Macaca fascicularis: one gene and its partners. The protein of the gene in region 2 interacts with the protein of the main gene of each other region in a biochemical or structural test. Links are inferred from orthologs where the notes say so. Each region holds a gene or a part of one and is shown on either strand. Other genes may lie near its edges. The genes, in order: ARHGEF26, DLG1, KCNA4, TANC1, CYSLTR2, KCNJ4 and IQSEC2.

What was found.
Region 1: the proteins of DLG1 (region 2) and ARHGEF26 interact in a test that uses a peptide from one of them, tested with the Homo sapiens proteins (2 studies listed by BioGRID and IntAct, with this or other methods). The link is inferred for Macaca fascicularis from reciprocal best matches to the Homo sapiens genes DLG1 and ARHGEF26.
Region 3: the proteins of DLG1 (region 2) and KCNA4 interact in a biophysical measurement, tested with the Homo sapiens proteins (2 studies listed by IntAct, with this or other methods). The link is inferred for Macaca fascicularis from reciprocal best matches to the Homo sapiens genes DLG1 and KCNA4.
Region 4: the proteins of DLG1 (region 2) and TANC1 interact in a test that uses a peptide from one of them, tested with the Homo sapiens proteins (2 studies listed by IntAct, with this or other methods). The link is inferred for Macaca fascicularis from reciprocal best matches to the Homo sapiens genes DLG1 and TANC1.
Region 5: the proteins of DLG1 (region 2) and CYSLTR2 interact in a test that uses a peptide from one of them, tested with the Homo sapiens proteins (2 studies listed by IntAct, with this or other methods). The link is inferred for Macaca fascicularis from reciprocal best matches to the Homo sapiens genes DLG1 and CYSLTR2.
Region 6: the proteins of DLG1 (region 2) and KCNJ4 form a complex in vitro, tested with the Homo sapiens proteins (2 studies listed by BioGRID and IntAct, with this or other methods). The link is inferred for Macaca fascicularis from reciprocal best matches to the Homo sapiens genes DLG1 and KCNJ4.
Region 7: the proteins of DLG1 (region 2) and IQSEC2 interact in a test that uses a peptide from one of them, tested with the Homo sapiens proteins (2 studies listed by IntAct, with this or other methods). The link is inferred for Macaca fascicularis from reciprocal best matches to the Homo sapiens genes DLG1 and IQSEC2.

What each region holds. Positions count from the first base shown.
Region 1 is NC_088376.1:57,077,505-57,081,856, reverse strand, and holds the start of ARHGEF26 (rho guanine nucleotide exchange factor 26), read right to left. Parts: upstream 2,858-4,352; 5' UTR 2,776-2,857; intron 2,354-2,775; 5' UTR 2,303-2,353; coding exon 1,226-2,302; intron 1-1,225. UniProt on the Homo sapiens protein: Activates RhoG GTPase by promoting the exchange of GDP by GTP. Required for the formation of membrane ruffles during macropinocytosis. Required for the formation of cup-like structures during trans-endothelial migration of leukocytes.
Region 2 is NC_088376.1:2,497,165-2,501,070, reverse strand, and holds part of DLG1 (disks large homolog 1), read left to right. Parts: intron 1-3; coding exon 4-176; intron 177-3,906. UniProt on the Homo sapiens protein: Essential multidomain scaffolding protein required for normal development. Recruits channels, receptors and signaling molecules to discrete plasma membrane domains in polarized cells.
Region 3 is NC_088388.1:35,544,356-35,547,243, forward strand, and holds part of KCNA4 (potassium voltage-gated channel subfamily A member 4), read left to right. Parts: intron 1-875; 5' UTR 876-1,657; coding exon 1,658-2,888. UniProt on the Homo sapiens protein: Voltage-gated potassium channel that mediates transmembrane potassium transport in excitable membranes. Forms tetrameric potassium-selective channels through which potassium ions pass in accordance with their electrochemical gradient.
Region 4 is NC_088386.1:54,606,477-54,610,382, reverse strand, and holds part of TANC1 (protein TANC1), read right to left. Parts: intron 2,462-3,906; coding exon 2,230-2,461; intron 1,074-2,229; coding exon 907-1,073; intron 1-906. UniProt on the Homo sapiens protein: May be a scaffold component in the postsynaptic density.
Region 5 is NC_088391.1:27,792,708-27,797,338, forward strand, and holds the start of CYSLTR2 (cysteinyl leukotriene receptor 2), read left to right. Parts: upstream 1-1,675; 5' UTR 1,676-1,763; intron 1,764-4,631. UniProt on the Homo sapiens protein: Receptor for cysteinyl leukotrienes. The response is mediated via a G-protein that activates a phosphatidylinositol-calcium second messenger system.
Region 6 is NC_088384.1:13,196,177-13,200,833, forward strand, and holds the start of KCNJ4 (inward rectifier potassium channel 4), read left to right. Parts: upstream 1-1,525; 5' UTR 1,526-2,439; intron 2,440-4,657. UniProt on the Homo sapiens protein: Inward rectifier potassium channels are characterized by a greater tendency to allow potassium to flow into the cell rather than out of it.
Region 7 is NC_088395.1:53,237,322-53,241,227, forward strand, and holds part of IQSEC2 (IQ motif and SEC7 domain-containing protein 2), read right to left. Parts: intron 1,296-3,906; coding exon 400-1,295; intron 1-399. UniProt on the Homo sapiens protein: Is a guanine nucleotide exchange factor for the ARF GTP-binding proteins.

The DNA of each region.
Region 1 (4,352 bases), about 55 Mb from region 2:
CTGAAACAATGAAATAAAATGTACAAGATCTCCCATACCCTGTCAAAACAGACTGAGAATCCTCAAATAACTAGCAGGTCAGCTCATTTTACTACTCGTGATTCACCATCACTGTTAAATTGAACTTTGCTATACTTGCAGAGTTGGAAAAAACACATAAAATGTTATGTAATTTCTTTAAGACCATGGGCTCCAAAATAAAACAGGCTTGCTTGTGTTTTGCATATGTGACATTTATATAGACTGGTTCCAGTGCTCTGATTAACCAAGAAAAAATGCGGCTGCCAAAAAGAATCTCCGCCCTATTGCTGAGATCTGTCTTGTTTCTGCGGAAGGCAGCATACACTCCAAAATATCCCTCTTCAGTTTTCCCTGTTTCTTTATGTCATATTTGGCAATATTTTAATAAGTGCAGCTAATGGGACAATACAGGGGAGCAATACCACAACAGTGTCACCCTAACCTGAAGTTTTCAGCTGCCAATTTGTTAAATGCACTCAAGGATGAATGGGCATACAACGGGAATAAAACACAACCATAGGCCATGGTGACAAAAACAAGCAACAAAAAAGATGACAAAAGATTTGTGTCTTTTGTGATCCTGGCAGTTGATTTTCAAATTCACATTCTACCTGAATGACATCAAGTGTGTAGTAACCACTCAAAAAACAATTCAGTAAGTAAAAGCAAAAAAATAATCAACAGGCTCAAACAGGAATCAGCATTTTTCTGAATCAGCTGTGATAACAGCTACCATTGACGGAAACCTCTGAGCAAACTCCACACAACCAGGAATCAGCATTTTTCTGAATCAGCTGTGATAACAGCTACCATTGACGGAAACCTCTGAGCAAACTCCACACAACTTGACTGCAGAGTGCGGGTCTGAGCATGCTCCTCCCCCTTTCAGCTATCTCTTTTAAAAGTGGTCAAGACTCATTCAGCCAATAATCTGCCATATTTCACTCTTGTCCCCCCAATTCTGCCTGAGCTTAGAAATTTAAAGGTGATGAATTTCACTTCTTCCAACAAAGCTGCACTAAACTCGGCTGTGCCGGCCAGCATCAAAGTGGCCAAGAGCTGGATGTACACTAGTAATCAACAGCAAAACACAGAATTAAAAGGGAATGACTTCTTCGGGTTTTCTCTATGCTCCTCCTCCCCACCCCCAACACATTTACTTTTGGCTTAGTGAATGGCGTGTCACACTCCTGCCCACTTTTACCTTTATCCTTCCCAGACTGGAAAACTTCTCCTTGTCTTCCATCACTGCTTTCAGAACAGGCTGGGACATTCTGTTCTTCTTCTTCGAACTGGTAGGACTGTCAAAATCAAAGCCACTGACCACTGCCCTGCGATAAGACGTGGACCGCAAGCCTCTCCGCAGAGACCCTGGGCTATCCACGTCGTTATCGAACTCACTCTCCTCCCCTGCGTGACCCAGAGGTCCTCCTAGGCCCTCCACCATGCTGCGCACCTTGAGGAGTCTCTTGTGGGGCTCCACATTCTGATTGTTGGATTTACTTATTTTAATTTCCGAGGCCAGACTCTTCGGAATGATCTGCTGCTTCCCCACTTTGAGGGCGGCGGGGCTGTTTGTACTCAAAACCACGGAAGGATTCTCGAGGAGCTCGTTCTCCTGGGAGGGGAGCCTTTGGAGGGGAAGTTTTTGTTCTGAAGAACTTTTCTGGGGCGCAGAAGAGAGCCCCCGTTCGGGCTCCTTAGCCTTCTGGCTGGACTGTGAACCCGACCCAGGAGAATCGTTATTAGCGGCAAGGCCATTTGCAGTGGGCGAAGGCACCGGGCTGGCATTCAACCCAGTCGGGTCCTCTTCGGGGGTGCAGGGGGCGGGCGCGTTAGGAGTCCGCGGAGAGCGCAGAACCGGCGGCGGCGGCGCAGGCAAGGTCACCGGGCCATTTGCTGGGGATTTCGGGGAGCCTCCCGGCACCGCTTTGGGGAGCTTGGGTGACTTGGGCCGTCGAAGTCGAGGAGAGGCAGCCCTGTACTCCGGGGATGCCGTCCCACCATTGGCCACCGCTCTCCGCTGGGCTCCCAGAAGCAGGGGGCTCCTATGTACCGTCCCGCTGTCCGAGTCGGTGGGCACCTGGGCGACAGTCTGCGCTGCAGGGAGCGTCCCTCGGTCCTCCACCGGAAAATCTGTAATTAGCAACCCGTTGGGGCTCTGGTAGGACTGGGGCCTCGGCTTGCTCCGGCCCAGCAGCTGGGGCTGAGGAATCGACCGCCTCCGCCACAAAGGGGTTATGCTGTTGCTAGAAAAATCCACTTCGCTCTCGCCGTCCATAGCCGGGCCTCGAAGTCAGCCCCGGTAGGAGCAACACCGGGTCAGTCTTGCCTAAAGAGGAAAGAAGTTAGGAAACTGTGCCTGCGGATAGGCGGGGACGCCTGGCCGACTCGCGTGCTCCGAGTCCGGCGGTCCCCCTGCTGCTGCGCAGGACACGACTGCACCGCACTTACCCGCCCTTTCTCGGGCAAAAACTGCACCACTGCGGTGCGCGGTCCCAGGCAGAAATCTGGGGTGCCGCCCAAATGGATTAATCCAATCAACTCCGCGTCCCTCCCACGCCAAAAGACCACCCGCACCAAACGAGCCCGCCACCAATTCACTGAGTGCAAGCCGAGGCACAAGAAACTTGGGACGAGTTCAGCTTTCTTGGGAAACTCGCCGCGGGACGCTCCCTTCTGTTGCCATCCAGCCGCCCGCCCTCATCATGGGTACCCTCGTGCTCCAGATGCGCGGCTCCCAGGCAAATTTACCTTCTGGGACTTGCAATGTCCGGGGCCAAGGAGCACCCACTGCCCCGTGGGTGGCCCGGGTCCGGGACCGAAGCGCCGCCGCGAGAGCTTAAGAGAACGCTGCCGCCGACCGCGGCACCGGCCCCGCCCCCACGCTTGACTACGCCCACACACTTGGCCCCGCCCCCGTTTCGGCCCCGCCCAGATCCGCCTCCGTTGCAGCCAGAAGCAAGAAGCCGTCTTCCCGCCCCCGCGCGCCTGCAATCAGCCCCAGTCTGCCTGGGAAACAGAGGAGCGCACCTGAGGTGGGTTCTGAGCTCCAGCGTTTGGGCTGGAAGTTGCGGACTAGTAGCTGCGGCGGCACTGGAGTGTAGGCGCGCGGGGTTGTTGCCAGGGGCATAGCGTGAGAACAAGCAAGGGAGTCCTGCTGAATTGCAGCTTAGGAAGCCCTGAATCCCGGAGGTGTGTTGAAACAGAACGCGCGGCGGAGTAGACTTTGTGAGACGCGTGGGTAGTAGCGCAGCATTCTAACGCAGAGTCATGCCCACTCAGCATTCAGGTGGTCTTAATCAGATGGGCTTGTTTCACTGCTGAGCATGCATTATATTATAAACAGATAGATGTGCTTGTTTGTGCCTAGAGTCTTTCTGTAGGAAAGACTGGCAGCTCTGAAGTGGGAAACTGGGTGACTAGGAAACCGGAGGGAGGGAGAGTTTTCATATAATTATTTTTGGTCCTTGTATGCTTTGAATCTTGAAATCTATCTATGAAAAATAAGCTCAATTTACACTACAAAAATAGTATTGGTTTCTAACAGTACATAGACTACAACTCAAAATCCTTACCATGGCTTACAAGAAGACACTGCACTACTGCCGTAACTCTTCAGCCTAGTCTTTCCATCATCACTTTCTCCTTCATTATTTTTTTGGCCACACTCAAAGTTTGCTAGCCTCAGAACCTTCCCTTTCGTTCCTTCTTGACCTGACTTGACACTGCATGAGAAAGGCAGTGTCCACTCCTTAATTATACCATTGCCCCGTTTATTTTCCCAGTCACTTGTTCTCTTCTATTTCTGCACTTGTCAAATTTTGTATATTATATATATGTATTTATGTGTTTATGTTTATTGTCTGTTTTGTCTTTACAAGGTAATTTCAATGAGGGCAGGGGTCATGTTTTTGTTTTTTTTTTTCTCCGTATTTCAGGCACATGGTAGGCACTTAATATTTATTTAATGAATGAGTGAATGAATGACAGGAATGAAGTGAAAACAGTGACCATTTCTTCCAAAGTGCTTGGTTGCCAAATAGTAGAAAGATGGCTGTGTCTTGGCCAGTCTCCTGCTGTGTGACAATAATCAGGCAAACTTGAGAAGACAAATAATTTTAGACCATAAGAGCTGTGTAATTGATTCTATTAGCAAGACATATGGGCCCTTCTCCAAGTTCTCTTTCAGCATTCATGCATTCAGCAGGGATGCAGTGAGCATCCACTGTGTGCAAGTTACGCTGCCTGTTTTTGCCCTAAATTGAATGCAATGGCCAAAAATATTAACATGTGATCTCTGGGTGGTGAGATGAAGGATAATATGTTTC
Region 2 (3,906 bases):
AAGATACAACTAGACCAAAACGAGATTATGAGGTAGACGGAAGAGATTATCATTTTGTGACTTCAAGAGAGCAGATGGAAAAAGATATCCAGGAACATAAATTCATTGAAGCTGGCCAGTATAACAATCATCTATATGGAACAAGTGTTCAATCTGTGCGAGAAGTAGCAGAAAAGGTAAGCATCAGACTAGTCCCAGAATATAGCTGCTAATCAGATATGCCTTTGACAGTATGAAAGAGTGGTAGGATAGATACAGCATTAATTAGTTTTATTAACGTAATGAATTTGCTTACCTACATGATTAATTTTTGGTGGCTCAGGAAAGTGCATACAAGATAAAACAGGTAAATAAGGTAGACAAAGAAAGTGAAAATAGGAATGGTAACATGAATGTAAGAGGAGAAGTTATTTTAAGGTCATTTGCTAGAGATAGACCTTTGTTTAACCCTAACCCTCCAGCATATATTATAAGGAGATAAGGGCCAGGTATGGCAGCACACCCTTATAGTCCTAGCTACTAAGAAGGCTGAGTTGAGAGGATCACTTAAGCCTGGGAATTTGAGGCTGCAGCGAGCTATGATCATGCCACTGAACTCCAGCCTGGGCAACAGAACAAGACCCTGGCTCTTAAAAAAAAAAAAAGAAAAGAAAAGAAAAAATCAATAAATCTAACCACTTAAAATTTTTAAAAACTTTTTTTATGGCCAAAGAACTTTTCCAAAAACTATTAGAAAACACCATTAACAATGTCAAAAGACAACTGACAGAAAAAATTTGCAAGAAGAAAAGGGCTAATATTCCCAATATATAAAGAACTCATAAAAACAGGGAATAGAGACCAGAAACCCAATAGGGAAAAAAAAAATGGACAAAAGATGAGAATACATAGTTCACACAAAAATAAGATATAAAAATGGCCTTTGTACATAGGATATGATATCCAACCATTTCAAATGAATAACTACATTGAAGAGGGGAGAAGGGAGAAGTCTTAATCCCAGAGATTCTTTAACACAAGCTGAAGACAGAAAGATCTGTAAACAAAATAAAATTCTAATCAGTAGGTTTGTTGGGTGGAGTGTATGGTCTTACAGTTCTGAAACTAATATATATTCTAGGGTTGAGCAAATAAACTAATGTAATGACAGTAGTGGGAGTGAGGTTTGACTGTCAGAAAAAGGGAGAGGATAAAATGAACTCTGATAATTGGATTGGAGATATTAGATAATTAGAGCTATGAATATGAACCCATGAATTGTAATAGAGTAGATCTAGAAAGATGTGTATTTACATATACACACACGTATGCTTATTTGCTCTATCCACTAAGAAGACCTAAAAATAACCCTGAATAAGCCATGAGAATATCTGGTGCCCAGGTCTTGGCTTCTAAATATAATTCGTTAATTGAAAGATTCAGGACTCCTTAGAGAAATGGCTGATTCTGGGGCCAGGACTGGAAAAGTGCAAGATGAGCCTGTAACATTTTTGCTGCCAGAAAAACAAGGGAGCAGTCCACGAGTGATGAGGGTGTGTAAAAAGGCAAGGAACCAAGCTGTGGGGTCCCCCACTGGCCAAGTCTGAGATAATTTGAATATCAAGATAAATGATAATCACAGATTATAATATATAGAGTAAAATTAAAATCCTAGACTCCATAATGAAATAAACACAGATGGCCCCCAACTTAGAATGGTTCAGCTTTACAGAGGCGCAAAAGTGATGCATATTCAGTAGCAGCCATACTTCAAGTACCCATACGGCCTTTCTGTTTTTCACTTGTAGTACAGGACTCAATGAATTACATGAAAAATGCAACACTTAATTATAAAACAGGTATGTTGGATGATTTTGTCTGACTGTAGAGTAAGTGTTCTGAGCACATTTAAGGTAATCTAGGCTAAGCTATGATGTTTAGTAGGGTAGGTATATTAAACGCATTTTCAATTTATAGTATTTTCAACTTGGGTTTATTGGGACGTAACTCCCATCATAAGTCAAGGAGCATCTGTATATGAGTAAATAAGTGGATAGAAGGGAACACTTTGGACTGTCTACTAATCAAGGTAGAAGAAATGATTAGAAAATATTGAAAACTGCATGGTAATAATTGTTTCAGGCAAAAACCATCAGTGTATTCTAAAATTAGTGAACATTTGATGAAAAATGGGATATCTATATAGTCTCAAAGTGTCCTCCCCCAAAATACTTATCAGTTACAAAGGCAAAAGTAATAATTTTACAGTGGAGAAACCTAGCAGATAAAACCTTAAACAAGTGATCAAAATTAGCATCACTACCAGTGGGACAAATAGATATAATATCACCTCCCAGATATGATGGACTGAGAAGGACACACATTATATCTGTGGTATTCCTGCCAAAAATGTGTAACCTGCCATCCGAGAGTGAGGAAACACACAAACCCAGGTTGAGGCATATTCTATGACATAATATTTTATACTCTTCAAAAACATCAAGATCAAGAAAGACCAAGACTGAGGAATTGTGTCAGATTGATGGAGACTAAGGAGGCTTTACAGCTAACCACAGTGTGTGATCCTATGATCCTGAATTGGATCCTGGACCAGGAAATTTTTTTTTTCTTTTCCAATAAGGAACATTAGATGGCCACTTGGAATCATATTGTGATTATATAAGAGATGCCATTGTTTTTAAGAAATATGAGGTAAAGGAGCATTATGCAGTTTTTTCTCAAACTATTATGTACATACATAGAAAGAGCTAAAGCAAACATAGAATATTAATATTTCAGTATCAAGTTACTAAAATGTTTAAGCGATAATGTAAAATATTTATATCTGATAAAAGATAATGGATACATAGTGTCTGTTATTTACTTTTCTATATGTTTGGAGTATTTTACAGTATTAAATTTGTTATTTTAAGTGTGCCCACCAAATTGAAATTATCATGTATTGACTTGGACTCAAGTCCTTGGGTTAGAAGTTGCATTATGGGGCCAAGTGTGGTGGCTCACACCTATAATCCGAGCACTTTGGGAGGCCGAGGTGGGTGGATCACTTGAGGTCGCAAATTTGAGACCAGCCTGACCAACATGGTGAAACCCCATCTGTACAAAAAACACAAAAATTAGCTGGGTGTGGTGGCGCACACCTGTTATTCCAGCTACTGGGGAGGCTGAAGCAGGAGAATTACTCGAACCCAAGAAGCGGAAGTTGGAATAAGCCGAGATCGTGCCACTGCACTCAAGTCTGGGTGACAGAACAAGACTTCGTCTCAAAAACAAACAAAAAACTGAAGTTGCGTTATGGGGGAGGGCCTGATTTCAAATGCATTAGAAGCAAATCTGTCATAAATAATAACTACTACTCTGCTTACCATGGAAATGCCCATCTGTATTAAAAACCTAAGTATCCTTTGTCAGTGAGTTTAAGCCTGTCAGAAAAGTTGTCATTTAAATCCAGAATTGGGTCCCATATGCTAGTTTATGAGTTTTTGTCTGTCCCTAGTAAAATGAGAAATAGAAGGATTGAGTAGTGGTAATGAGGTTTCACACATTTGTTTATTTAAAAGGTTTGCCCTTACTCTAGGATTTTTTATCTTTTATGAAATGATAGCTATGGGGAGATGGTAGTTTGGGGTCTTTATGAATACTTTTTCTTGGCAGAATGAAAAATAGGAACCTGGGCCTGGCACAGTGGCTCATGCCTATAATCCCAGCACTTCCAGAGGCTGCGGTGAGAGGATCACTTGAGCCCCAGGAGTTCAAGACCAGCCTAGACAACAGAACAAGACCCCGTCTCTTAAATTTAAAAAAAAGAAAAGGGAGGGGGGGAGCTCTGGTTTTCACCATTTTGAGAAATTACTGATCTGTGAAAACTAGGAACTGTATTTGTTTGAAAATGGCAAATTATGCATA
Region 3 (2,888 bases), on a different chromosome or scaffold from region 2:
AAAACAATGGGGACATGAGGTAGGGAGCCAGGCAGTGCCAACTTAACGACGGCCACTGGTGAGTCTCAGGATGTACTGTATGTCCTCATGTCCCATCTTCCCCTACTTTAGTTAGTGGCCTAAGGACACAAACACTTGGAGCTGTGTAGACAGACAATAAAAATGTAGGTTGCTGTCACGTTATTCATTACTGCTAGTGTTTATTGTCATTCATTAGGTAAAAGGCACTGTGATATTCTATCAACATCCATTATCTCATTTAGTCCTTACAAACATGAGATGGGGGAGGTTGTGTTATTATTTGTACTTTATAGATGAGGTGACTGAAGTGCATTCAAGTGGTGCTGCCTGCATAAAGAATAAGAATACTGTTGTTGTTGTTTTTTTCTTTTTTCCGACTTCCCCAATCCTGAGTCAAGATAGAGAGGAGTGGAAGGGCACTTAATTCAGAAACACTTTATGAGTGGAAATTTTAAAAATTGCCTTGAAATAGATGAATGATGGAAGCAGCTGTAAAGTCACAGCATTATTTTTGTGAAATGAAGAGAGTGACAGTGAGAATTAAGACCTGGCATTGGTGAAGGGGAAGATAGAAGCAAGAGCCATGTGAGCCATGAGTGGAGAGAGGAAAAATAATTGAGTTACCATAAAAATAAACTGAGCTGAAATAATATCTGAAGAAGAAGGAAAGAATGATGTTTAGTGAGTGAGAATAGTGTGCCCCATACTCTTGAAAATGTATGGGTGTTTGGTGTGTTATGTGACTTTCTTGAAGAAAGAGAAGGATGTGTATATGAAGAGAAATGCTCACTTTGCTCTTTATGATTTGTTTCCTTTTTACTTTTCTCCTATGCTTGTTTCCAATCCTTTTTCAGGTGAAGTGCTTCTTCTGCATGATTTTGGCTGAAGAATGCTCTGCATTTCCTTGATTTCTATGGAGACCTCAGAGCTGGTTTTGCTTCTGCTGACACCTCATCTAGCACCTTCTCTACCTCCCAGGGTCTTTGCCTCTATCTATGGTTTGGCATCGTACCTGGGTCCAGGAAGCCTTTGATGAACTTAAAAGGAGAGCCTGCAGAATCGTCCTGATAGACTTTGAGTAGAAATGGCTGGACATACTTCAAACCACATCTTATTATGGTTCGAGCCATCACTAGAAGGCAAGTGCTAACAGTAAAGGCTTATTTGCATTTTATTTAAATTTAATGGACTGAGCATTGGCCAATTTCCATGGCAGAAAAATGTATTTCATTTTCTAGGCACAACTTCTGGCTGTCAGACACTTGCTGCCTTTGAATCTTGCAGCATCATCACTAACCACATCCCAGACATATTTCCAAATCTCAACATCTACCCCCAAAACATAGGTGTCTGAGACACTCCAGCATTTTCGGACTTCTTAGTCTTGAGAGTGCTAGGCTATTTATCTCGACCAGCCAAGCTCTGGAGAGCAATGTTGAATCCCTGAGAAGAGGGAGCATGGGGCGTGCTGATTTAAAAACAGAAAATGCAAAGTTGGACTGAAAATATCCTTAGTCTTCCAAGCAATCTGCTTAAGGGTTCCAAACTTACCTTAATTTGGTGAGAAAAGAAGCTGCCCTATTTTTCTTTCTTCTTCTTCTACAACTGGAACCAGCCATTTCCGAAAACCACCACCATGGAGGTTGCAATGGTGAGTGCGGAGAGCTCAGGGTGCAACAGTCACATGCCTTATGGTTATGCTGCCCAGGCCAGGGCCCGGGAGCGGGAGAGGCTTGCTCACTCCAGGGCAGCTGCAGCAGCTGCTGTTGCAGCGGCCACAGCTGCTGTTGAAGGTAGCGGGGGTTCTGGTGGCTCCCACCACCACCACCAGTCACGTGGGGCCTGCACCTCCCATGACCCTCAGAGCAGCCGGGGTAGCCGGAGGAGGAGGCGACAGCGGCTTGAGAAGAAGAAAGTCCACCAACGGCAGAGCAGCTTCTCTCATTGCTCTGACCTGATGCCCAGTGGTTCTGAGGAGAAGATCCTGAGGGAGCTGAGTGAGGAGGAGGAAGACGAGGAGGAGGAGGAGGAGGAAGAAGAGGAGGGAAGGTTTTACTATAGTGAAGATGACCATGGGGATGAGTGTTCCTACACGGACCTGCTGCCTCAGGATGAGGGCGGTGGTGGCTACAGTTCAGTCCGCTACAGTGACTGTTGTGAACGGGTGGTGATAAATGTGTCAGGCCTACGCTTTGAGACCCAGATGAAAACTCTGGCCCAGTTTCCAGAGACTTTGTTGGGAGACCCTGAAAAGAGGACTCAGTACTTTGACCCTTTGCGCAATGAGTATTTTTTTGATAGGAACCGCCCCAGCTTTGATGCCATCTTATATTATTACCAATCAGGAGGCCGCCTGAAGAGGCCAGTCAATGTCCCCTTTGATATCTTCACTGAGGAGGTGAAGTTCTATCAGTTGGGGGAGGAGGCCCTGTTGAAGTTTCGGGAGGACGAGGGCTTTGTGAGAGAGGAGGAGGACAGGGCCCTCCCTGAGAATGAATTTAAAAAGCAGATTTGGCTCCTCTTTGAATATCCAGAGAGCTCCAGTCCTGCAAGGGGCATAGCCATTGTGTCTGTCCTGGTCATCTTAATCTCCATTGTCATCTTTTGCCTGGAAACCTTGCCTGAGTTTAGGGACGACCGGGATCTCGTCATGGCACTGAGTGCTGGTGGGCACGGTGGGTTGTTGAATGACACTTCAGCACCCCACCCAGAGAACTCAGGGCACACAATATTCAATGACCCCTTCTTCATCGTGGAAACAGTCTGTATTGTATGGTTTTCCTTTGAGTTTGTGGTTCGCTGCTTTGCTTGTCCCAGCCAAGCACTCTTCTTCAAAAACATCATGAACATCATTGACATTGTCTCCA
Region 4 (3,906 bases), on a different chromosome or scaffold from region 2:
TCATAAAAGGGCAAAAATCAAAACCTAATGTCTAAAAGTCTTTACTGAAACACGATAGGTATAGAAGGAGTCAATGGTTAAGATACAATTTCAGGATTCAAGAGAGAAGGAAGATGGAGGGGAAAAAATATCACCCTACCGCTTGCTGCAAATGTTACCTCATGTTTAAGTTTTACGAAAAAATAGACTTCTGAGAATAGGCCTTAAAAATCTTTCACCTTCAGCTGGGCACAGTGGCTCGCGCCTGTAATCCCAGCACTTTGGGAGGCTGAGGCGGGTGGATCACCTGATGTCAGGAGTTGGAGACCAGCCTGGCCAACATGGTGAAAATCCATCTCTACTAAAAATACAAAAATTAGCCAGGCGTGGTGGTGGCTGCCTGTAATCCCAGCTACTCGGGAGGCTGAGGCAGGAGAATCACTTGAACCCGGGAGGCAGATGCTGCAGTGAGCCAAGATCATGCCACTGTACTCCATCCTAGGCGACAGAGCAAGACTCTATCTCCAAAAAAAAAAAAAAATCTTTCACCTTCATTTTTCCCTTCAAAAAAACACAAAGCCCCACAGCAAACCCATGCAAATAACTACCAGCAGGAGTAGGTTTAAACTCTGGCAGGCCTCTTGGCCCCACACACTCCATGACGGTAACCAGGGCTAGATGCCACCATTTGAAAATGTGCAATTCGATGCCAACAGGAAACTTACCTGACATCTTGATAAATATGCCTTGAGCTAAAAAGGTCAGAGTTTCACCCATGTGGGGCTCTCTGGACTAATTTTTCAAATTCTTAACATAGTTTCTAATTCAAGCAGCTGAATGGTTTACAACAGTTTTATGTTATTAATATTTATCACTGTAAAATTGGAATATAGGGACTTGGAGAAAGATTTGAGAATTCTTTGTTACCTGAAAATTTGCTCTTACAGTCACAATCAACTTCAACCAGGCAGGAAATTTAGAAATAATTTTGGTAATAAATGAAGAAAGCGTATCTCCATAATCAGGTTTATGAAACTCAGCTTCATTTAAGCCATCTATCAAAATAATGTATTCTTCTTCAGGAATTTTCTGCTCTACAGGATAAAATAATTTTTTCAAATTAAGAAATTATACATTTCTCTAAGACAGCAACACCCAGTGTATTTTAGTGCCCAGTTTAATGTTAGAAACTAAAAAGGTTTACATATGGCACAAGAAACAGTTTTCACAGAAGCATATTTTCTATTAAATTTATAGTGAAAACTGGAGCACAGAGCCAAAAGAAAACCAATTCTCACAAAACAAACATATTGCATGACATACGTTAGCAGAATCTCACTCATGTATATAATACAGTTAGCTCTTCATAAACCATTGTCACTGGGGTGAGCTACACAAAGATAATGAACACATAACAGACTTCCAATCCAGAAAGGTCACTAGGTCCCCCATGAGAGCTCCTTAGTGGATTCCAGGGAAGGGAAACTGACATCCTCGCTGCCCCCAACCCAGGGCAAAGTGCCCGGCCCAAGCCACACAACCACACAGTGTGAGAGCTCCACACTACTGACTCCTCCAACAGGGCTCTTCTCCGCGAGCCAGAATCTGGTTTCCTATTTATTAGTGCTGATTTTCTGCCCAGGAAATAGAGAAGAAATGATGACATATCTGTTTTCTATCCCTCTAGCACCTTCCAGCAGAGGGGCCATGTGGGCAGATAAACAAGCTCAAAAGGTGAGGAGGTGAGGGGAGAGAAGATGGGAAACTGAAGGGACCATCAGGTCACTGATACCTTGTTGGGGACAAAAAATTAAAATGGAAACCTTTAGAAGTCACTTTAAGGTTTCAATTCAACTGAGCAGAGGCCCTGACAAATATATATTCTGGAAAATTCCTCCAAATAATCCACTTATTCCCTCAGATACTTAGGAGTGCAAAATACACAACAGTCTTCCGTGGTGCAAGTCATCTAAATAGCCCACAGTTACAAACTACTTTGGAACCGCTCAGTCATCACATTCATTCTTATCAGGGTGCTCCTTTTAACACTATACCACAGGGGTGGTGTAGGAGGGACCTCATGGGGCTGGTTCTGAGAAAGAGGAGCGGATGGGCACTGACGCTTCCACATTCTCTCCCTGCTCCAGCTCACTTCTACCCCAGGGCCCCGCTGACCACCTGCCTTCTGGGGACCACCTGTGTATGCTGTACCACTACTGAGAGGGGCTGTAGGTAGCTGCTATGAGGTACCATTTCTCAGGTTTGTGAGTGGCTCCAGCACTCCCCTCTTGAAAGCTGCCACCGGGTCCTGCACACAGGATCGGAGACTCAGCATGCTCTGTAGTTGGGGCTCCTTTATCAGAAGGTCTCTGTAGGCGGCCAGCTGATGGGACCGGCAGAGCAAAGCTGCGATGCTGTGCACAAACTCGGGCACCAGGCAAGTGTATGTGTTGTCAGCCTGGCAGTAGTGGTAGGCCACCACCTAGGGGGAAGCAGAACTGTCAGCGTCACCTCACCCTCTTCACACAGCTCCTTCTGCGATCTCAAACAGGAACACAACTCTGCTCGTCCGCTGATAACAAGATACATAACATCTATTGCCCAAGACTGGGTCATTTGTTAGCATAATTGTTCCATTTATTCCTTCCTTCCCTTGTGTGGTTTGCGAACCTTTAACTGCATCCACAAAATCCATCTTGATTAGCATAAAAATCAGCACGTTACTTTGTATTGAATATAAGCAAACAGCATTCATAAAATGTAAAATTTACCCTGGCTTAGAGCAGCTCCAAGCCATCCTAATATTCTCAACATCAAAAAGTGCCATCTTCACTAGGCTTCTGTTCTCAAGAGCAGCAGCACCTCTTTAGGAAACCCTTTTGCTGATCCCAAAAGGCAGATGATAAAGCCAGAGGCTGTGAGACCGGGGCTGCAGAGTCGCAGCAGCTCCTTCTCCTGGTCCAGAGGGTCAAGACGTTGGCCCCTCCCCACACCCGCACTGCATCAAGGGACACTGTGGAGAAGTTCAATAGGGACGCTGTCTGAAGAATGAAACCCGAAATCACCAATTCTCTGCCCATCATGTGGAGAGACAAGTTGGAGGAGAGAGGGAGCTGCCTGGGTACTGAGAGGAAAAGGAATCGTTCTGTTCCAAGGGACCTGCAGCATCAGCAGGCTGCTTGTGAGAGGGACGCCAGGAAACGGCCAGACACAGAAGTGTTGGGAATGGGAGGCATGCAGTAGATAGAAGAAAAATCCAATACTTTTCCAAAGAAGGATGATAGGAGAAACACAAGTACAAGGTAAGGAAGGCAAAGAAGAGCAAAACACTTGTGCCAAGAGATACATGTTTTTTGGAAGTATCTGCCTTGCTGCTGTCCCACTGGACGCGGCAAGACCCTGCAGGAAGTAGGACAAGAACCACTAGCCACAGTTCATCACTGAGGGCACCAGACACTGAGGTTAGATGCCTTGCCAACCTGACACAGATAGTCAAGGATGTGGGATTAGATCCCAGGTCTGCAGACTCTTTAAAAGACAAGTGGCAAAAGTAAATGTGCAACAGCTTTCCTCTGGCCAACCTGGAGCTGCCATGAGACTTTTGGTTTAGATTAAATTTATCGTCAACACTCAGAGGAAAGCTGGCTGCTCTCCAACTCTCACCTGGACAGAAATTAGCAGGGATACACGTGAGCATCCTGTAAGCTTGTGCAAACCATCATGAGATGTCCAGTACCACAGTCTTGCACGGCGTTTCACAAAAGCAGCTTTGCTTTTTTTTCCATGACCCAACAGTGGGTCATGAAATCTATTTATTTAGTTATTTACTTTTATTTTTTATTTTTTTGAGATGAAGTCTTGCTCTGTTGCTTGGGTTGGAGTGCAGCTGCACAATCTTGGCTCACTGCAACCTTCGTCTCCTGGGTT
Region 5 (4,631 bases), on a different chromosome or scaffold from region 2:
TCTCTCCCTGCCTCCTCCCCTTCCCAGCCTCTAGTAACCACTATTCTACTCTCTACTTCTATCAGGTCAACTTTTTTAGCTTCCACATATGAGAACATGCAGTATTTATCTTACTATGCCTGGCTTACTTCACTTAACATAATGTCTTCCAAGCTCATCCATGTTGCCACAAATGACAAAATTTTGTTCTTTTTAAATCAATAAATAGTATTCAATTGTGAATATATACATTTTTCATCCATCTTTCTGTTGATGAACATTTAGGGTGATCCATATTTTGGCTATTGTGAATAGTGCTACAGTAAACATGAGAGTGCAGAGATCTCAACAAGATTCAGTAACCCTACTACTGAGTATATATCCAAAGTATTTTATTCGTTTTGATGCTATTCTAAATGGAATCGTTTCCTTAGTTTCCTTTTTTGGTTGTTTATTGTTAGTATATATAAATGCAACTGATTTTTGTGTATTGATTTCCTATCCTGCAACTTTGCTGAATTTGCTTATTAGTTCTATTGGGGTTTTGTGTGTGTGTGTGTGTGTGTGTGTGTGTGTGTGTGTGTGTGTGTATGGAATCTTCAGGTTTTCCTACGTATAAAATTTTATCATTTGCAGACAGATATAATTTTACTTATTTATTTCCAATTTGGATCCCTTTTATGTATTTTTCTTGCTTAATGTTACTGCAGCTTTCTATCCAGGAAATGAGGATTTGAACAGTGATGGGGAGGTCAGCAATGGTTGGAGTTGGGACATATTTTATGGGCAGAACAAATGGAACTTGTTGGCTCAGAAGTGGGTGGTGGAAGAAAGAGAGAAGTTAAAAGTGACTTCTAGGTTTATGGATGGGCTAAATTATTGTGGTGCCACTGTTTAGACAGGGTAGATGGGGGGATGCAGGACTAAGAGGGGAAGAGAAAAGGTCCATCTGGGTCACATTAAATTTGGCCATGATTGTGCATCAGATAGATAAAAGCAAGAGAAGGAGGGAAGAAGTCAGAACACAGACCTCTGGGGAAAGCTCACATGTAGAAAAGGGATGGAAGAAGAGGCATCAGAAAGAGAGGCAAAGAAGAGCAATCTGAGGGGGAGAAAAAGAACCAGGAAAGTCAGAGAAACAAGGAAGAAGTTTCAGGAAAGTGGTAGTGGTCAACTATGCAAACAAGACGGGAAGGAAGGTGAGGACTGAGAAAGGATTTTTTATGTGAGCAACAAGGTTATTGGTAACCTCTGACAGAACATTTTCAGCAGAGTGGATAAGGTCTCTGCTGGAGTGCAAGTGAATTGAAAATATAAGTGAGTGAGGGAAGTGCTTTAAACAAATCTAAAGTGCTGTGTGTGTAAGGCAGTGTTGCTATTTCTGTTGCCATGGAAACAGAAACCTTTCAGGAGAACTAAAAGCCACTTAAAATCCCTGACTCTAACCCATTATATCCGCTTGTTCTCTTGAGAAAGATAATGACAAAAACCAGTCATTAGAGGGGCAGGGCAATTTTAGGTTTCTTCTTTTTAGATGTAGCCCTTAACTGGAAATCTTCCCCCTTCTTGAGAAGAGATCTTGCACTGACATCTATACTGGCTTCTAAAAAGCACAGATGACCTGCTACACTTCCTGACTTTCTTGCTATTGGTTGGCACTGTTCATAAATATAATTTGCTGTTTCCCTTTTCTTTTAAATGAGCAATCCGAATTACTTGGAGGAGAAAGGCAGAAGAGATAGAGGCAGCAGAAGCCAGGGCAGCTGAAAGACAGAGAACTTCAGGTGGGCATTTTAATCTTTGTTTTGTTAATTCAGTGTTGAGAATCATGACTTGAAGATCACGTAATAGAGGAGTAATTTTTGAAAAGTAAATTTGTTTTGTTCTACTATAAATATTATTTTCCTATCATGTACATGGTAGTTTAAAAAATACTGTGAAAGTACAAAAATGTTAAAGGAAGCCAAATTCTCCACCAAGATAGCCTCTATTGATATTTTGGGGGTTTTCCGTGTGTGTGTGTGTGTGTATGTGTGTGTGTGTGTGCGTGTTTGTGAATGTGTATATGCACATATAACTTTAGTTTTCATAGTTGCGTCCCTGCACTATGGACACGTTTATATTCATTTCCTGCATTTCAGTCTATGGTTTTTCCATGTTGCTGTGAATTCTTTGTAATCATAAATTAAAGCTGCTGCATAATATTGCATTGAGGAACTTTACTTCCTCCATTTTTAGCTGTATAGCAGTTATCCTATTTTTCATAGTTTGGGTCCTTTTATTATATAAGATATATTTTTTTCATTCAGGGTCTTGTTTTAGAGGTAGAAGAAGTTGAATCTGAGCACATATGTTTCAATGGTTTTGCTTAGAGGCACAATGAGAGTGAAAGAGTATGTGAGATCATGAGCATATAATCTGTTCCTTACCCCACTGGGACCCTAACCAGTGTTTCTCAACTCTGGCTGCACATCAAGTCAGAATCACCTGACTCTGAGGAGATTAGAAAATTACCCCTAGAATAATTGAAGCTTAACTTTTAGAGATCAGCAAGTCATCTGCAGTATTTTGTCTTGTTTTCCAGAAACTTCTCAGGTGATTCTAATAGGTGGTCGGCATAAAAACAGATGACCTACGTCATTCAAAATATTTTTCTGTCTCTGACATATACCTGAGAGTAATATGTATTAGGAGAAAGGGAGGTATAATTTCAGGCAATCCAATCAAATCTCCCTTTCAACACTACATACATAATGCAAATTACAGAATAATTTGGGGGGAAACATAAGACTTCTAGAAATTTCTATCTACCTCAGCCACATAAACTCTTGAGATGAGAATCTACTTGTGTTTCGATTTACTAATGTTTTAAAGAGGTGGATTTGTTTCCAGTGCTTCGATGGTTAAAAGTTAGAGAAGTTGAGGCTGTCGTATGTTCTGAATGTACCTGAATCACGCCCATATCTGCTAGAATCTGCCAAGGCAGCCAGGCTTCCTTTCTTTTGCAATCTTCAAGATTAAACACAAGGTGGGCATTTAATAGCTGGCCAGTCACTAACACACTGTGGGCACAGTGAAGATCGATGGCATTGGATTTGGAGGCAGAAGGTGGCTCACTCTGGCTTTCAGGAGCCCCATAGACATGGCACTTACCTTCTCTGGACCTCATGTCCTCAGGAGGAAAGTGGACAGAGTTTATGCCAGGGCTGCGTTCTGGTTTCTCCCATTGGGGACTGAAAACAGAGCCAGAGCCCCTAAACCACATTGAAGCATTTGCTGTTGCACTCCTAGCCTGCTGCAGGCCAGGAATCATCCCAACGAGACCAACAGCATGTTAATCAAATTTCTTCTTGTTTTGACTCAGTGGAGAACACCTGTTTAGTACCTTCATTAATGAATGTAAACATTCACATAGTACTTTACAAAACACGTTTACATGCATCAGTTCATTTGATCCACATACTAGCCTTAAGAACTGGAGTAATTCTTATTTTAAAGATGGTAAAGATGAGACCGAGAGAACATAGGATCTTTTCCAGGTGGAACCAGAACTGGTCCAATCTGGTTTAGCCCAGGGCACATGGTCCATTCTTACAACTTAAATAATAGCTATTGTGGGAAATTGGTTAAACATATTTCATAATGTTTATATAATTGGTTATTCTGTAGCCAGTTAGATGATGACATTGATGTTGTTATTTGGCAAAGAAAGGTGATCATGGCATGGAAATAAGAAAAAAGCAAGATATAAAACAGTATTATAAATGCGCTTATTTTTGTTTAAAAATATTTTCATATATTTCAAGAAAGATGAAAAAAAGCATATATGTGAAATTTTAGATATGTCTGGTTGGTGGTAAAGTTCATAATTTAAGTTTATTTCAGCTTGTATTACATTGTAATTTTTCTTTACCATGAACATGTACTACTTGTGTAATAAAAATAAAGGAAAGTAAATAGAATTGTTCATGTCTTTCTGGTTGGCTCTTCTCCGGATGAAATGGCCCCATCTTTTACTTGGCCGTAAAGAAGGCTGCTATTTAATTCTCTGAGTTTTGTACGTTATTGTCACAAATTTTATTGTGATTGTCAGCTAGTACTGACTGAATTCTTTGTGTGTGTTGGGCACCAAGTTAATCACTTCACATCCATTTTTTTTTTCATCAGTACTCACTCCAGTGCTCCTTTGGCAGAGGAGAGTTTGAAGCTCAGAGGGCTGCAGTAATAAAAGAGACTAAAAGGCAGAGTTGAAACTTAAACCCAGGACCCTTTTAACTCAAAAGCACATGGTTTCATTCATTATATCACTCTGCCTCCCATCCACCTGGGATCACATGAGCAGCCTCCGTTTTGGAGGAAAGATGATATATTTTTTCAGTGTACTACTCATTGCTGTGTACATGAATACATGATGGTTACTTTGGGCATCATTAAGATTTCCTGTGTACTCCAGAATCAAGGATCCTTTCTGCTTTTCTATAGTTTGCTCTATGCACCAGATATCTGAGGCACTCTAGTTCCCCAAGGGTAAGGCTTTAAGATAAAAGCCTCACAAGGGATTGTGCAATTACCCAATGAACTCTGGCTAATGCGGCAGCCAAACTGGATAATACAAAGAAAGGCAAGTATTTTGCTGTGGATGCTTAGCTTTG
Region 6 (4,657 bases), on a different chromosome or scaffold from region 2:
GATCTGTGCATCCACCTCACTTAATCTACCCCTGGGGAATGGAGGACATTAGGGTCCTCAATTTACAGACAGATTAAATAAAAAGTTGTTCAAGGTCAAGTAGCTCCTAGGTGCTTTTGAGCCTAGGTTAGCCTGACTCCTCATCCCACTAAGCAAGAACCATACTTGTGCCCAGCCCAGGGACTGGTACGTGGTGGGTGCCTAGTGCTGGTTGAATGAATGAGTGGGTGATAAATGACTTCTGCTAGGGTCATCAGGAGGCCTTCTCAAGGAAGTGGCACTGAGGCTGGACTTGGGGAACAGCAGGAATTCTCTGGGCAAAGAAGGTGGAAGGGCATTTTAGGCAGGAGGAACAGTGTGTGCAGGCAGAGGTGTGGAGACCCGTGGCATGTTCTGGCATGTTCTGGAATCTGTGGAATCAGGGTGTACCTGTGGATTTATGGGATGTGGGATGCCAGATAAGGTGGGGCCTGACTACACCACACTGAGGAGTTGGGACTGGATCCTTTTGAGTAGGGAGAGCCCACCAGGAAGGGAAACAGTTGTGGTGATTTGCATGTTGCTCTTCTTATGCTGACATCCTCAAGGCTCAGGAGAGCCAGAGGGGATTTCAGATTTCATCAGTTCTCCACCTGGCTTTGGGGGCCTCAGTCTCTCCCTCTCTGCACTGGGGCTAGTTGGTGATGGCCAGACTCCCAGGGAAGTTCTGCTGGCTGTCTAACTGCAGGTGTTCTCTCGTCCTACCACCCTGGAAGGAGGAGCACTTTCCCTCCTGTCTCCTCGGAGGGCTAGAGTGACGTGGTAGGATGGTCAGGAAGTAGCTGGTTTGACAGGTGCTGCTGGGGGTTCCGTGACACCCCAGACTGTGGGGCCCAGGCCTGACAGCTTGGGGTAATGGAGAACGACAGAGAACAAGAGACTAGGGTTTGGCCTTGTTCTGTCATCTCTGGGTGACGTTGGCCGAGTTTCTGAGCCTCTCTGGTACCCAGTCTCGCCATCTGTAAAATGGGGCAATGGTGACTGAGTGATCGTGAGGGTCCCTCCAACAGGGCCACCTCGGACTCCCGGAGTGGGGTGCTTCGGGTCCTTAACCGGCGGTACTTCGGGAGAGTACGAGGACCGCCAAGGAGAGGGGCCGGACTCCGTGGGACCCCAGATGGACCAGCTACCACCCATCCCCTTCCCGGCTCAGAGGAACTCTCTCCACCTGCCCCCTGGGGGGGGCCCACAAAACCCGGGAGCGGATCCAGGAACGGGTTCTGGGAGGAGCGCTCCTGGGGTGAGGAGGAAAACCCGGGCAGGATCCAGGGCAGGAGCGGGGCCAGCAGCCCCCAGCCCCAGCCCCTGCTCAGCGCCGCTGGCCCCGCAGGAAGGGGCCTGAGGCCGGGTTAGGCCGAGGGGCGGGCAGGGCGGGTCCCCGCGGGCCGCCGGGGCTCCCAGGATGGGGGACGCGCGGCCTCCGCAGTGGGGCGCGGGTCACGTGTGAGGAGGGGCGAAAGTCTCGCAAAGCGGGGCGGCGTGCCGCGAGTTGGGAGTTCTCGGCGCGCCGCGGGCGGCGGGAGCTCGGGCTCCCGGGCGAGCCGGGGACGCGGCCGAGGCGGGGGCCGGGGTCCGAGACAGAGGGGGCCGCACGGAGAGTGGGAGGGGGAGAGACAGAGAAGGACAGAGGCCGCGAGGGAGACGGACAGAGACTCGCAGGGGAGAGAGGCAGCGCGGGCAGAGGGAGGCGGGAGGAGGCCAGGGGGCGACCGCGACGGAGACGGAGACCCCGCGGGCAGAGGGCGAGCGGGGCCGCAGGAGGCAGGGAGGCCGGGAGAGGGACGGGGACGCGAGGGCGGCGGAGACCCCGGCGGCGGGAGAGAGACGCAAGAGCGGTCGGGGAGGTGGCGGCAGAGCCCGGCCGGCGGGGGCGGGGAGGGCGACCCCAGGCCGGGAGGCCGAGGGGTCGCGGGGCCGGGGCCGAGCGCAGCGGGGCCGGGAGCGGAGCGCAGGGCCGGGGCCAGAGCGCGCGACCAGGAGCGGGTAACAGCGAGGGAGCGGCGCGCAGCGGGGGGCGGCGGCGGGGAGGGCGCCTGCGGCGGGGGTGGGGGGCGCGGGCGGTGGGGCGCCCCGGGCCCCCGGACCCCCGCGCTCTGAGCCCGGCCGAGCCCGACGATGCTGACGCCGAGGCGGCGCCTAGGGCGCGGCGCGGGGCAGCGCTGAAAGTTGGGCGGCCCGCGGGGAGCGGCGCGGGACGGCCGGGACGCGCGGAGACCCCAAGACCCACGCGCAGACCGAGCGGCAGCCGGGGAGGGGGGCGCGGGCCGGCCGGCCGAGTTCGGAGGCAGGAGGCACCGGGACTCCCCTCTCCGCGCCCGGGACGCCGCCCGCCGGATCCCGCCGTGGGATGTAGCGCCCGCTCGCCGCCTCCCGGACTCTCGTCGGACCCTCCGCCCAGCGGTAAGCCGCGCTCGCCCACCCCGGGCGCTGTCCGTCAGTCTGTCCGTCAGTCTGTCCCGCCGCGTGCGTGTCTGTGTGTCCCGGGCCCGCCGCTCCGGCCCCTCCCGCTCCGCACCTGATCCGGAGCTGGGTCCCGGCTGCCCGGCGCCGCGCGCGCGGTCCCGTGACTCCCCGGGAGCGGGCGGGCTCTGTCCGTCTGGGAGCGTCGCGGTCTGGGTTGTGTACTGGAAAGGGGGAGAGAGGTGGGTGGAAGGGGTCTTGACCTCCTGCCCCGGCCATGACCTTTCCCTGCCTCCACCCACCCCAGTTGTCATGCCGGGGAGCTTCAAGGCAGGTGACTTGTGGCAAGGTGGGGGATGGCGCCTTTCCGCCTCCCCAGCTGCAGCCTCGTTGCAAATGGCCCTGTGATCTGAAGAACGAAATCCCACTTCTCATGTTTTGAGCGCCTGCTTTGCGCCACACGACCCCAGGGCGCAGGGGCAGGGATCGGTAGAGGAGGCACTGCACATTCATAGTGATAGAAACTGCGGCTGCGGAGGGAGGCAGAGGCTGCTTTTTCCTCCGAGTGTAGGGAGCACCCCAAGGCAAGAGAGGTCTCAATGAGCCTCCCGCAGGGAGAACTTCCCCTGCAACCGACCAAATATACCCCCACCAGTGTCAGCCTCCCTGCCCCCTACCCACACTTCTGCCCCCAGTGTCCCCGCTTCAGGATGGAGAGGATGCAGGGAGTTGAGAGGTGGCAAGCTGGGTGGGGTGGAGCAGAGGGTATTAGAGGCAGGGCAGCCTTGCCAGCTGACAGAGCAGGGCCTCAAGAGCAGTAGAATGTTCAGCAGCAGGTTTGGGGGAAGTGGGGAACTCAGGGAGGGAGGCCCAGAGAAGGGTTGGAGCTGTGTGTGTGTGTGTGTGTGTGTGTGTGTGTGTGTGTGTGTGTGTGTGTGTGTTCGTTCTCCCCCACATCGAGTCCCATGACCTCCATGGCTTCAGGCCTTTTGGGGGCAGTTAGCAGGACTTTAGGGGCCCAAGAGCATTGCTGTCGCTCTGGCTTGGCCTGTGATGAGGGGAGCAAAAGGTGGAACAGGGCAGCTGGGGTAAGAGATGGGTGCAGCATGGTGGGAACAGAGACTGTTGGCCACTGAGCTGACCCATATCCCAGCTGGAGTTGGAAGGGCTGAGCCTAGAACATTCCACTCCATTCTCATTGGGAGGAGGGACTCTTTCTGGGGTTTTCCACACTGGGCAGTGGGTCTTATATGTCTTCCATTCAGGCTCCCAGAAATTGGCTCAGCTGGCTGGGAGAGCAGCCCTCTGGGCTGGTCACTCTCCTCCCAACTGTCAGCTTCCATGTCTGTGGCATGGGGACATCACTCCCTCCCCCAGTGACCTCCAAGGCAGGCCCTGGGCTCAATGAGCAGAGGGCTGTTCACAGACTGGGGAAAGCGCTGGGGAGATGGGAGTAAAGACTTACTTTACCTTAAAAGACAGATGAACAGCTAGTGGGTGGAGGTGGACATGGGGCAGTGGGAATATGGTGGAAATAGAGAGCTGACCAAGGAGGAGTGTCCAGGATTAGAGTGGGAATCTGGGGTACTATTCCTCATGGCCCTTTGGGTCATCCTTGAAAAGAAAGCTCTTCTCTCAGAAAATCCTCTGGAGTGGCTGTGACCAGGCAGAGCTGGTTGAGTTTCTGCTGGGTGACCTTGGGTGGGTGGCTTGACCTCTCTGAACCTCAGTTTCTTCAACTGGAGAACAGGGATGATGATACTGACTTCATCAGGGTGTTGAGCACTTTCCAGACTGTGTCAGGTCTGTGAAAGCCGCGTGCGCCAGCCTGGAGCATAGTAGGTTCGTAGACATTTGCGAAAGAGAGAATGAAGTAGCTCTGGGAGATGCTGTGAGAAGATGTCTTAGCTTAGGATAAGAAGGAAGGGGAGGAGGAACAGTGTAGGCTTACAGGGCGGGCTGCTTCTTAATGTGGATCTGGGGGAGGCGGGGGCGAGTGCTAAGGGGGGTGTGAGGAGGAGGGGGCCCCTCTGCGGGGACCACTGAGTCACGAGGACATGTAAGCGACATGACAACCAGCAACATGGTAACCAGGAAACTAGCGGCGGTGGGAAACAGAGCTGGAGCAGTGTGGGGTGGGGGTGGCGGGTAGGCCTGGTAGCGCTGGGCTCAAGGGGTCCCGGGAGCAGCCAGGCTGGTCCCTCAGAGTGAGGAGGGG
Region 7 (3,906 bases), on a different chromosome or scaffold from region 2:
ATGCACCTTGCCCAGGGCTATGCAGCGAGTCTGGCCAAAGGCCCACTCGGGGGCCAGATCTCCTGTTTCCCAGGCTAGGGCTCTTTCTACACCATATCACCTCCCCTCTAAAAAGGGAAGGTGGGGAGGACAAGTTTCAGAATCCATTTAGTGGGGTCATCTCACCCAAGATCGCACAGTCAGCCAGAGGCAGTACTAGGACTGCCCAGGTGTGTTAAGGGACTCTCTACTCTTTCACCCTGTTGCCAATCCTCTTCCCTGAATGTCTGGGGAGAAATACCGTTCCACAAAATGAAAGGATGGCAGAACCGGGATCACTGCGTGGAGTTCTGTCCCAGGAACCCAAGTACCCGTGGCAGGGTAGGAAAGGGCGAGCAGGCTAGAACGGGCAGCACGCACTTGTTGAAAAGGTTGAGGCCGATTCGGTAGTGCCGCCTCTGGACCACATCATTGTTGAAAGCTGGCGAGTCCCAGCTGTGCCTTGTCTCCCGCTGGTAAGTCTGCTTGCACAGGCCGGTGGCCGGAGGCTCCCTTAGACTGTCCCGAGAAGAGGAGCCGGAGCTGCAGTTGATGGTCTCATTGGAATTGCTGGAGCTCTCGAGGCTCTCATTATCTCCACCATCAGAGTTCTCGCCTGCTGCCTCGCACTTCCCCAACCTCCGACCCCCAGCCACACCACTGGGCCCAGTGCCACTGTTGGGGGCTGGTGGCAGGGGCCCTGGTGGGGCTGGGGCTGGGCCCTCAGGGGCTGGGTAGTGGCGGTGTGGGATCGGGGCCCTGCCTGGTGGCCCCTTGTGCTTCAGGGTCCCATGGGGGCTGCAGCCATCAGCCTCATACACCAGCTGGCGGTGGACAGAGCCGCGATCTGAGCGGTCACTCAGGTCCACGGAGCTGTCACTAGGAGGCTCAATGGTAAGCAGGGGAAGGTGGGCGGCCCGCAGCCGGAAATCCCGGCACTCCAAGCACCCGGGACCCCTGCGAGTGCCTTCCTCACGGCTACCGTCTTCCCGGGTTCCTGATGGCACTGGTGGAGGAACTGGCGGGAGAGGGGCTGGCGCCCAGAACTCGGGCCGGCCCTGGGGTGGGGGTTCTGTGCTGGGCAGTCGCTCAGGGGATTGTTGGGGAACTGTGTCATCCAGGTAGAGGGGAAGGTCACTGAAGGATGTGGCCGAGCTGTCCTCTTGCTGTTCCTTTGACTCCCGCTTCTCCAGCTGGGCTGAACCTGGCTCCTCAGACATGGGCCCTGACGGGTGGCAGTTCAGGGCTTCGTCGATGGATTCAGCCAGAGACTTTACCTGTGCAGGCGGGGGAGGAGAGGAGGGAAAGGGAGAGAAAAGAAAGAAAGATAAAGGGAAGAATGGTGGAAGGTGGGAATGAGGGAGGGGGGTAAGGGAAAAGGGGGAGTCTTCCTGGTAGGTCAGCAAGGAGGGTGGATTCCCCTCCCCCAGCCCTGACAAACTCCCTGTGGTCTATAAAATGACTCCCAGGGAACCATTGTGAGCTCACAGGAGCTGGGACTAATGCCCACGAGTTCCCCCACTCAGCTCATACCCCAATACCTCCTTTGTGTCCATTTAGACTCAAGCCAAATGTTACCTCCTCCCTGATTCAAGCCACATTCTTGCCTCTGCCATCCCCGAGGGTAAACCAAAATCCCAGCTTCCTCTGTGGGAATTCTCTTAGGAAATCCATAACATTTGACCTTGAGCGTCTGGACCACAGCTGGTAATGCTCTTTCCCTGTGGTATCCAGACTCTAAACTGACCGCTCATGATCCCTGCCTCCTGGTATTCACACCCTAGGGTACCACATTGTACCAGAGTTAGTCTGTGTGACAAACAGCATATGGCAGAAGTGAATGTATGTCACTTCTGAAATTAGGTTTTAAAAGACTGCAGAGGCTGGGCATGGTGGCTCATGCCTGTAATCCCAGCACTTTGGGAGGCCAAGATGGGAGGATCCCTTGAGCCCAGGAGTTCAAGAAAAGCCTGGGCAACATGGCGAGACTCTACCTCTACAAAAAATAAAAACATTAGCTGGGTGTGGTGGTACACACCTGTAGTCCCAGTTACTCAGGAGAGTGAGGCAGGAGGATCACTTGAGCCCAGGAGTTTGAGACTGCAGTGAGTTACGATCACGCCACTGCACTCCAGCCTGGCAACACAGCAAGATCCTGTCTCTAAAATTTTTATTTGTTTTTTTGAGACAGAGTCTCGCTCTTGCCCAGGGTGGAGTGCAGTGGCACGATCTCAGCTCACTGCAACCTCCAACTCCCAGGTTCAAGCGATTTTCCTCCCTCAGCCTCCCCAGTAGCAGGGATTACAGGCGCGCACCACCATGTTTGGCTAATTTTTATATTTTTAGTAGAGACGGGGTTTCGCCATGATGGACAGGCTGGTCTCAAACCCCTGACCTCAGGCGATCCGCCTGCCTTGGCCTCCCGAAGTGCTGAGATTACAGGTGTGAGCTACTATGCCCGGCCAAAAAAAAATTTTTTTAATTTAAAAAAAAAAGACTGCAAAAAAATTTTTTTTAATTTACAAAATTAAAAAAAAAATTTAAATGACTGCAGCTTCCATCTTGAGCACTCTTGGTCGCTTGTCACTTGGACTCTTTCTCTCAGACCCCCCAACCTGGGGAAAGCCCATCACGAACAGTCCTATAGAGAGGCCCACAGGGTGAGGCATTGAATCCTCCTGCCAACAGCCAAGTGAGTGAGCTTGAAAGCAGACTGCCAGCCCCAGTCTAGTCTTCAGATATTGCAGGCTCTCCCTACAGCTTGACTGCAACCTCATGAAAGGCCCTGAACCAAAACCACTCAGCCATGCCATTCCCAGCTTCCTGGCCCCCAGAAACTGTATGAGATAATAAATGTTTATGGTTTAGGCTCAGTCTCTTGGGTCAGTTTTAAGCTACCAAATTTGGGGGTAATTTGTTACACAGCTAACAGATAACGGATATACTTCCCCATCAGACTTCAATAGCACTCAGAGCTGGGATCAGACCTGGTTCCCAGACTGATCTCCTATTCCCCATTCCTCCCTTGAGGGATGGATCCAGGCCTGGTTTCTCTTTCTAGCTCAGCTCAACACATTGCTTGACACAGAAGAGATGTTCAATTAAATCTTTGTGGTATGAATGAACAGATAAATGATATAGATCTTCCCTTCAATATTCCTGTCCTTCCCTCCACCTCTTCACCAGGTCCAAGGAGGCATGCCCAGGCTGATGGCAAGGCCAGATCATAGAGGTTAGAGCAGAGTGACTTTTTCGCTTATAAAGCTTCATCCATTCATTCAACAATCTCTACCAAGTACCTTCTTGGTTTTAGGAAGAAAACTAACATGTACTTAGCAGCTACTATGTACTAGGCGTTTTCATATATATTACCTGTACAGTTGCACTGAGTCTTCCAAATAGCTCTAAAAGGGTTTTCTCTCCATTTTATTTTCTCTCCATTTTATTGATCATGTTTCAGTGTGGTTAAACAGTTTGCAGTTTGCCAAGGCCACACAGTTGGGAAATGGCAGAACTGGGATTCACACCTGGGCAAGTATGTTGACACACCCCAACCCTAGAACGATCTCCCACTACCTTTACTGCGTTACAATCCCACCCCTCCAAGCTTTTGCTGATGCAACGCCTATGTAAGCAACACCCTTCCAAGTATTTCTAACTTGCTAAATCTTTTCTGTCTGGCAAGGCCCATCTCCAATGCTGTTTTCTCAAGTGGGTTTTCTGTGGTTCTCCCAGAAGAAAGTTTCCTCCCCTTCCTCTGGGTTCCCAAGGTACCATACATTGTACTATATAGCCTTTCTCATGGCTCAGAGCACACTCTACTTCAGGAGACAGTAATGCACACATGTCTGCCATTTCCTACTGCACTGGGATCCTTGAGGACAAGGA